Linked DNA regions of Kluyveromyces lactis. The protein of the gene in region 1 purifies or fractionates together with the protein of each later gene. This does not show direct contact. Links are inferred from orthologs where the notes say so. Each region holds a gene or a part of one and is shown on either strand. Other genes may lie near its edges.

Region 1 (5,512 bases):
CCCATAAACAATATACCTGAACAAATTAGACAAAACGGTGGTAGGTACTGAAATGAGTGTATATGTTTATCAGTCCTGCGATCACGAAGCAAGAAGGCAATTTCAATAATACGTAGAGCTCCACCGCTCATGAGAACTAACCCAAACAAATAGTGAACTTTTGTGCTGATGATAAGCTTCTGTGAATGTTCCGACATTGCCCAGCCAGTAACAATAATGAGCAGTCCTGGCACAAATGTTCTGCTACCGTCACGAGAGAGGTATATCCCGACAAGTCCACCAGCCCACCAAATGATCCCCATTGCAGTGTGTTGATAGTCTCCATGGTTCCATTCTTCTCTTCCCCATCTATGTTCTGTGAAAGTGTTAACAATTCCCCAGGCACACATAACGCAACTGTCATAGAAATCCTGTGAGTATTTCCCATTGTTATTCCTCAACCAAGGAAGTACAAGCACTGTCACATAAACGAATCCATACAGAACAAAAGCAGTGCCCATAATACCGTGAGCGATACATTGACCGGTGTGTTTTCCACGACAAAATCCAAACAAAGCAACAGGCGCGAGACAGATTTTCACCCAACCCCCTAGCACACATAACAGAGATAACACTCTATGGGCAATCTCGACCTTTGTTGAAGCTATATGAGACAAGGCGCTTTTGATCCTGTCATTGAACAACAGAAAGTTCGATCCTGTATATATAGCACCGGTTAGAAAAGTAAGACCGGATAACAACAGTAATGCCCAGGAACAACCTCTGGATGTCCTGTTTTCGATACCATCTCCATCAGGGAACCTCAAAAATAATGCTTCTACTAAGCAGTAAGCGCAACTTATTGATTGGAAGAATAACGATGAATACACTTTACCGCCAAATGTTAAAGTCGTTGAAAAAGACGGTAATAGAAGCAAAAAGGTCATTGATGCCAACCAATGGAAGGTTTTGCTACCTGCTGCGTTAATTTCAGGTCTTGTATATTCCTCTATATCATCCATATTCATTGCAGCCGCCAGAGACATGCAGGTCAAAAGACACAGATAGTTACGAGACATTGTCATTACACCCTTCCACCCTAAACTCTTGGACGACGTCAAAATAGAAGTAGTTGATAACTGAGATAATAGATCCTTAACCCTAATCACAATTGAATGAGTTCCTTTTAATCGTTGCAGTGAAATCGTGAGTCGGAACTGTCCCTGTTAATGAACTACATGTCAGAATCCTTTATATCCCATTAACTATAATCACCTTAAACTATGCTAGTTTTACATGTTTTTTTTTATGTTCCACTTCTGATTCATTTTTTTGAGAATGCGGAAATTGTTACTTCTTATTTCATGATTGAAAATGAATCCTAGATTCGCCTACAGTATGTTGATGATGCAACAATTCCATCCATTTTAGCTCATTTTGTATCATTGGACATCAAGCGATATGACTTCGAGGCTAAAAACCTATCTTTCTATATGAAAACGTCAGTATTTTGAGATTTATCTCTTATGAACTGGTTATGCTATGTCTTTCTATTTGTTGGGAATCGAGTTTTGCCCTAGTAAATTGCTTGTATGATCAGGAGAATTGTCGAAAGATTCCAGAGATTCATTCCCGAAAGGATTATTGCTTGAACTTTCACGGGGTGAGAGCTCTTCTTCATTTATGTCGAAGTTAAAGTCTTCAAGGTTATCATCATTTACTTCACCAGATATAGACTCTGCAGTTTGATTAATCGAAGAATCGTATTCTGAGTCGGTATCAATGATATCAAATTCATAAGCTTCTGCTCTAGACCTTCTGATTATTCTTCTTGATTTTAAGAAAAACAAATAGTAAATTATGATGACTATCGCACCAATGACAAAAATTGCCAAGTATAACTGGGCAGCCTGTTCGGGACGAGGCAACTTATTTGCACCAGATGTTTCTTCTCCAGAAGTCGTCGTGAATGACGAAGTTTGTGCAGTGGGAGTTGTGGTTTTAGATTCGGTACTCTTAACTTCAGCATCCTCTTTGTCATTTCCATATGATATCACTTTGGCCTTCTTTGCATCGATAGTTTCTCCAAACATCTTTAATCTCCAAGATTTGAGTGTTACAATTTCATTATCATGCGTAGACTTTACTTTTAATTTCCAGCTTCCAACTCCACTAGAGCCCCAGTGCGCGACAGACATGAAAGTCCAATTTTGAAAACCATAGCGGTTTTTATCTAAACGTCTAGCTGTCGCTAAGGTAGATGTAACTCCATCAGGCGATATTAGATCTACTAAGACATGTCCACGGTAAGGTGCGTCTATATCGACAGTTACAGTGACATGTTCCAACCTTTTTAGGTTATTTTGTTTAAACTCTTCAGCAGAAACTGAGACTGTGGATTCTATAACTTCATCTGAATTACTGATAGACTGTTTTTCAACGATTGTAGGAAGGTAAAGCCAACCTTGTGGGTTTACATTGATCCAACTTTTTGCCATATGGACAATGTTATATGCATCAAGTTTTCCAAATCCATATGTGTGAGAATAACGCTTTCCCATAGCTGTATCCTGCCACTTTCCATCGTGCGGATTTATTTCCTCAGAGCTCAATATTGAGAGGTATTGTACATCTCGCCATGTTAAGTTCGGGTTAGCTTCCAGCACTAAAGTATATATACCAGCTGCAAGAGGAGCTGCAGCTGAAGTGCCTCCATGCGTATTGGAACATTTTTCGTCTAAATCTGTTGTTTTTATGTAATTTCCTGATCCCGAAGAATAAGTAACAACCATTACAGCAGAACATGATTCAGAATATGGAGGATGTAGGCCCTTCCAATCAATGGCACCTACAGTGATAGAAAATATAGAGTTTGTGTAGCCGTCAAAGTTGCAGCTGTCGCCAAACATACCACCATTCCCACTCGCAAATACATATAGTGCACCTTTTGCATCTCGTCCTTCTGTTACACCTTTTATGATTGCCTTTTTTACTAATGTATCCGGCGCTTGCATAGTTTTACCGTCATCAGATGGACCCCACGAGCAAGAGTAAATATCATTAACGTCTAGTCCATAAATTAATGAAGCAGCCTCATCTTCGGCTGTGATCTGGCCTGACAAAATTCTGATACCGGATACCTTAGAGTTATAGGCGACACCAACCCCACAAATATCATTACGGAAAGCCGCTATTTCACCTGCGCAGCGGGTACCATGGTAATCATCTTTTAGCCTTGGCTTCGGCAATGGGTTGTTGTCATTAAAATCCCAAGAACCTTCAACACAGAAATTGTCTTTTAAATCTTCGTTCTCATAATCCAATCCATCATCCACCAATGCTGCCACTACACCATAGCCAGTGATGTTTTCTTTCCATAAACCAGTTACGTTAACGTCATTTCCAGGGTAGTTTGGATTGATCAAGTGCCACTGCTGATCAAACAATGGATCAGAAATATTGAAAAGAATTCTAGCGTTCTGGATTTGTTCCATACTAGAATCCCCAATAGGCAATCTTTTGTGTAACTGAACGGGGGGTAGATCGTGGAAATCAATGATGTTTTCTGAATATCCTGTGTCAATCGCATCTCGTTTACCCAAACTCTGCAACGGTTTCGAGAACACATAGTGATTGGCAAGGCCTCGAACATCGTGCTCGAAACTCCAGTCACTGTGTTCCGCTAGTAGATTACCTACATCATCATAAGATTCAATTGCAAAATACTGCCTATTTTCGTGGTCTTTTTTAGGAACTTGCATTGCTTTACCGTATCCTGACACTGCTATTAAAGCTAGCATGAGCTGCGACGATAGGATCATAACTATCGTTCTGAAAATTAAGGAATATTAAGGGAAAAAGGTAATAAGTAAGTGGAAAATCTTATTCAATGACTTGCCCGGCGTAGAGCTGATATCCTGATTTAGAGATTGCACCTAATTTGTCTAGCTGTACTAGACCCTTAGTATTGTACAACTTTTTGGAATGGCCTTTATTTTTATGCTGTATAAAAGACGTGTAACACATGAAAGAGCAACCCGATTCGATAAGAAAGTCTTCTAAACGTACCTAATCGTTAACAGGTCTTCTATGTTTAACCTCTAGCAAAGCCAAGTGCAGGGTTTATTTGTATTTCTTTCACTATATCTCTTTCTTATGTCCACTTTTTCGACTGATGTCTCAGTTCATAATAAAACATCACAGTTTTGGCACTGATCTAATAATATAATTTTCAACCTCAATGCTAAAGCAGAAATCCAAACCGAAAGCATGTCGGCGGTGAGAATAATTGTTCTCAGTTTCTGCCGTAAACAAAATCAAAGGCGGGTATCTTTATCAAGTTTTAGTCACGTGAATGAGAATATGTTATTCATGACACTTGCGATGTTGACATATTGATTAGTCAATTCAAAAGAAATTATAAGAGAAACTGAGACAGAGGATTTATTAGTAAGTGATTTCATTGTGATGGACTCAGAGTAGCATAAGAGAAGCCCATATAAGAACGTTCAGAATACAAAGCCAAAAACGATTCAAGTTGCATACTAAGGACTATTTTATTTGAAAACACTACTACTGCTTAGCTTCTTTTTCGAGGATCTTTAAGATAGAAAGAAACAATGAGTGCGTTACTTAGGGATGCCGATTTGAACGATTTTATAAGCCCAGGTTTGGCGTGTGTGAAACCAGCTCAACCTCAAAAGGTTGAGAAGAAACCATCATTTGAAGTTGAAGTTGGCATTGAATCTAGTGAGCCTGAGAAGGTATCGATCAGTTTGCAAGACTGTTTAGCCTGTGCTGGTTGCATTACTTCATCAGAAGAGATTTTATTATCGAAGCAAAGCCATAAGGTGTTCTTAGAAAAATGGAGCGAATTGGAAGAACTAGATGAACGATCTCTAGCTGTCAGCATATCTCCTCAATGTAGACTTTCGTTGGCTGACTATTACTCTATGTGCCTTGCAGACCTCGATCGATGTTTCCAAAATTTCATGAAAACCAAGTTCAATGCGAAATATGTTGTTGGTACCCAGTTTGGAAGGTCTATTTCAATATCCCGGATAAACGCAACCTTAAAAGACAGGGTTCCGGAAAATGAAGGCCCTCTTTTGTGTAGTGTTTGTCCCGGTTTTGTGTTGTATGCAGAGAAAACGAAACCAGAATTAATACCTCATATGTTAGATGTGAAATCACCTCAGCAAATAACAGGCAATCTATTGAAACAAGCAGATCCAACATGCTACCACTTGAGCATAATGCCATGTTTTGATAAAAAACTAGAGGCATCTAGAGAAGAATGTGAAAAAGAAGTAGATTGTGTGATAACACCAAAGGAATTTGTAGCAATGCTCGGAGATCTTTCGATAGATTTCAAGAGTTACATGACGGAATATGATTCATCAAAAGAGTTATGTCCCAGCGGATGGGATTATAAACTTCACTGGTTAAGTAACGAAGGCAGTAGCAGTGGCGGATATGCGTACCAATACCTTCTTTCCTTACAGTCCTCGAATCCTGAGTCAGATATTATCAC
Region 2 (4,779 bases), on another chromosome or scaffold:
CTATCTAACACAGAGGCTACAAAATCCGGACCAATTCGAAGAGCTTTTAGACATCGCATACGATTTTATGAAACCCAATTACAAGTCATTGAGCAAAGATCATTTAAGAGAGGTTTTAAAGTCTATTGGAACCCATTTGACAACGATTTACGATATTGATTCATCTTTTTACAATTTATTCAAAGATCCTACTTATGTCAATGAGAATGCTACCAATTTCTTGGAGAATCATAACACAGATGATGTTTGCAGGGTACTATCATTCCTGAAAGATAAAATCTCAGAATCTAACATCTCAGACCTCATCAAAACTGCAGTGGAAGAATTATCCGTACCAAAGAAACTTATTTTCGAAAGTGTTAGATTTGCTCTTGTCGGCTCAATGCCTTGCGTTAAACTTCCCGTCTTGGTGAAGATTCTTACACCAGATGAATCTAACAGAAGAATTGGTAACGCATTAACGCTGATCAAATCGCGTTAATATAAATACTACATATTAAATAGTTACTATTCATGTATATAGCAATTTTCTATCTCTCGGGGTTCATGTGCGTGAAGGTTAGGAAATTTCTCGAATAAGCAAGAAAATGATATAAAGTTCAAGTAATATAAAGGATACATACATAAAAGAAGTTGGGAAAACACACACAACCTTTGTAGGACGGCTTTCTGTTCCAAGAAAATGGTACTCCTATCTACTCACACTCTGACAAAGTACAGCAAACAGGAATTGTAAAATGTTTGCTGCCATCGCCTCCGGGAACCCCTTACAATTATCCACTGAAGTACCTAATTCTAATGGTTTGCAGCATACAATAGTATTATCATCAACAAAGCCAAAATCATACTCACATATCACTTTGTTTATACTACCAAACGTAACATTCCCTCAGGAATTCCTTGCGACAGTGTATTTTAAACTAAATCCAGCGGAGGACTTCAAATTATTTGGATACTTGGGTAATGAGAAACCGAGTGCAATTTTTAAGGTAAAACTTCCACAGGCCAATGTTGGGAATGGTGTGACAGCTAACCCTTCAGATGGATTAGGTGAAATTGATATGGAAGACGATGTAATGACAGATGACCTCAATGGTGCCAACGCAAATCACAATATTTCGCAGTTAATCATAGGAATTTCCATTGAACCAAGAAATGATGCCACTGCCAAGCTTGAGCAGTGGAAAGCGGAGCAAGCTGCATTGAGTTCGAGCGCTGGTGCCGGTGCAATGGTACTATCTAAGAATTCTGTACAAATCCTAACTGCAGGAGCTCTTGCGAAACAATATCCTGTGGTAACACAAGAATTGGCTGCGAAGATCGTTCAGCATGCTTATAATTATTTAACTGGATTTGTCGATGCTCAAGGGAACGTCTCCATCAAAAGGTTTGATACATGGTGGGAAAAGTTCAGAGTAAGGTTGCAAAACGATGCAACTTTCTTGGATGAGGTTACAAAGGACTGAGACTACCGTTATTTAAATAAATTACATAGACTTTTCCAATTTAAATTCTATCTAATAACGTAATGCCAATTTATGTATTTCGCTGTCAATCACTCATAGCTCATCGGCTATTAAAGTGTCATCATCGTCAAAGAGTCTCTCTTTTAGTCTGGCAGCATTTGGGTTACCGAAAACTGCATGTCTGCTTTTGGCTAACTGATTATCAAATTCCAGTTGATCCACATCTCTTTTATAAATATCATCTTTCGATTTTTCATTGCGCACTTCAATCTCATCGATTAACCAATTCAAGAAATCAGAATCTATTTTGACACGGTTTTTGAAACGTGTCTTTATGAAACTGATGCAATGGAAGAAGGATCTGAGATGAAGTTCATCTAGTTCTGGTGTTTGTATTATTGTTGTTAATTCATTCACCCATTTTTGCACTGTCTTCATGTCTTGTTGCACAGTGTCAATGACTTGTTCGTTTTTCTCATTATAAAATTTGGCAATGATTTCTAATATCTTGATCTTAGAAGATGGGTCTTCAATTTGGTATAAGCGCCATAAAACGTCATCTTTTATGGACACATATTCTGTGCGGCTCAGCAACACGTCAAGTATAGATAAAAACCTCTTGATAAGTAATTTTGAGCCCTGAGAAGCTTGAAGTTCAGAAAGATGCTCGCACAATTTAAAGGTGGTCTGTGGATATTTTTCATTCACGAAATCAATACTTGGTGGATTATTCCTTAACGAACTGACGATTATCCTAGCAGCCAGCTCTCTAATTTGAATAGAAAGAGTATCGTTGAAAGAAAGATATTCTAATAATTCGAACTCATTTGACAAAATCTTGAAACCTTTTTTATAATCATGTGCAAACTCAACTAAGTCATCAAGAAGAGTCTCAACTTCTTCCCACGTCTTCTCATCTGGTGACTGCATTAAGGATTTTATTTTGGCAAAATCTTCAGAAAATTCGTGCCCCGCAGGTTCATTAGAGGTTGCTTCAGCGTTATCCGACACCGCTATCTTAAGATCAGTTTCTTGCTGTAGAATATCGCTCTCTTTTTCAGCATTGTTCAATTTGAATCCACTCTGCTCATTTTCCAAATCCTCTGAGGTTTCTTTCAATTCAGATTCAGATAAGGTCGAACCTTCTGCACCAAGTACCAAACCCTTCACATCTTCCTCCTCATTACCAATGTTCTCGGATCCTGGTTCAGGTAATTTAGCTTCCCTAACACCTTTCTCTAGGCTTACTCTAATATCAAGTCCTGGAGGTAGTCGTTGACCAGGTCTGATTTCTTTCCATTCTGTAGAGGGTACAAATCCTATGGGATAACATTCTTTTGTATTGCAGACCAAATGATCTCCAATAACTAGATCTGATTCAGCGTCTTTCTTAGCTATGTTAGCGTCATTATTAGCTTCCACTGCAGCAACTGTATTTGCTGTATCTTTTTGTTTCGGATCAGCATTTGAATTAGATGGTGTTAGGACAACTTGAGAAACAACCAGCCTAGAAAAAAGTAGCACCGTCAGCACATATATGGCTCTGTTTACACATTTGACTCTCATATCGAAACCTGATGGTCTATCTAGATAGTGTGGTTTTGTGTGAACCTATGAATCCGGTAGAGGATAATCCACTCTAACGATACTATAGCTGTTATGTGTGCGTGAAATGGCAAGACACGGTTTGTCATTTATTATTTTTAGATCTTTCACGGCATGAACAGAATATGACAGCACATCTAAACTTCAAGGTTGGAAAGAAAGAAGTGACAGATTGGTTTGGATTTTGAAGGCTACTACCTGCCGTCAGTGAGAAGTGAATGTTCTATCAAAACAGTGATTCTGGGTTATTATAGATAAAGAGTCTATCAAAGACGTGAGCTAGTATAGCCAGATAGATAAAAAAAAATTCTATATACTAATCCGTACAATAACAGAAGTGGACCTATTAAAGCAAATAGATGGGGGTTGAAAACCCTGCCATTGAAAATGCTGTCGCATATGAATTAATTAACGTGCTCTCGTTTTCTTCATTGATGTGGAAGGGTGTTTCTGGTGTTTTATCGAAAATTAATATTAGTTGGATGCGGATGCAAGAGCTTGCTTAATATCTTCCAATAGATCATCTGTATCCTCAATACCAATGGATAATCTGACCAAATCGTCGTAAACACCGGATGCTTCTCTTTGCTCCTTTGGGATACCACCGTGGGTCATGACGGCAGGAACTTCCAATAGGGATTCGATACCACCAAGAGATTCAGCCAGAGTGAATAATCTGGTAGAAGATGAGAAGGTAGAAGCAGCTTCTGCACCACCTTTGATTCTGAAGGAGATCATACCACCACCTAGAGCATCGCGGTGTTGTTTCTTAACGACTGCATAACTTTCGTGAGTTGGTAAACCTGGGTAATTAACTGCGATGACATTTTCGTTAGAGGATAAGAATTCAGCAATCTTGTGAGCGGACAAAGAAGCTTGTCTAACTCTCAAGTGCAAAGTCTTGACACCACGGTGTACCAACCAAGAATCAAATGGTGATGGAATGGCACCAATAGCGTTTTGCAAAAATTGCAACTTTTCGTAGATGACTTTGTCGTTGGTAGCTAAGACACCCAAGACGACGTCAGAGTGACCGTTAATGTATTTAGTAGCAGAGTGGACGACGATGTCAGCACCGAAGTTCAGAGGGTTAGACAAATATGGAGATAGGAAAGTGTTGTCAACAACCAGTAGGATATCCTTATTAATGGACTTAGCGGTCTTGGCTACTAATTCGATATCAGTAACTTTTAAAGTTGGGTTAGTTGGGGTTTCAATCCAAACCAATTTAGTGTTTTCCTTGATCAAAGATGGCAACTCAGCTACCAAGTTGTTGGTGAAAGTGGTTTCAACACCATGAGCATTGGCAACTTTGGTGAAGTATCTGTGAGTACCACCGTAAACATCACCAATAGAAACTGCATGAGAACCTTGTGGCAAGGATTGTAGAATCACAGCAGTGGTGGCGGAACCACTAGAGAACGCTAAACCGTATTTACCATTTTCCAAAGCAGCAATGGCATCTTCCAAATTCTTTCTATTTGGATTTTGAGATCTAGAGTATTCGTATTCACCAATTGGTTGAGCTGGAGCAGACTGCTTGAAAGTAGTAGACAAAGAAATTGGTTCAATGACAGAACCGTGAACATCCACGTGAGTACCGGCGTGAATAGCCTTTGTAGCAAACTTATCAGTTGGTAACAAACCCATTTCAAATATATCTTATTTTCACTTTCTTGTGGAACTTAGAACCAGATACAACTAAAAT

The links.
Region 2: the proteins of KEX2 (region 1) and SIL1 purify together in Saccharomyces cerevisiae (affinity purification with mass spectrometry, with the first as the bait; 3 studies listed by BioGRID). This does not show direct contact. The link is inferred for Kluyveromyces lactis from reciprocal best matches to the Saccharomyces cerevisiae genes KEX2 and SIL1.

What each region holds. Positions count from the first base shown.
Region 1 is NC_006040.1:1,670,809-1,676,320, forward strand, and holds KEX2 (kexin KEX2), read right to left. Parts: upstream 3,801-5,512; coding exon 1,530-3,800; downstream 1-1,529. Other genes in the region: YTP1 (Ytp1p), read right to left, coding at 1-1,064; iron-sulfur cluster assembly protein NAR1, read left to right, coding at 4,599-5,512.
Region 2 is NC_006042.1:742,410-747,188, reverse strand, and holds SIL1 (Sil1p), read right to left. Parts: upstream 3,033-4,779; coding exon 1,560-3,032; downstream 1-1,559. Other genes in the region: glutamate--tRNA ligase MSE1, read left to right, coding at 1-481; OPI10 (Opi10p), read left to right, coding at 738-1,466; cystathionine gamma-lyase CYS3, read right to left, coding at 3,546-4,721. UniProt on the Saccharomyces cerevisiae protein: Required for protein translocation and folding in the endoplasmic reticulum (ER). Functions as a nucleotide exchange factor for the ER lumenal chaperone KAR2.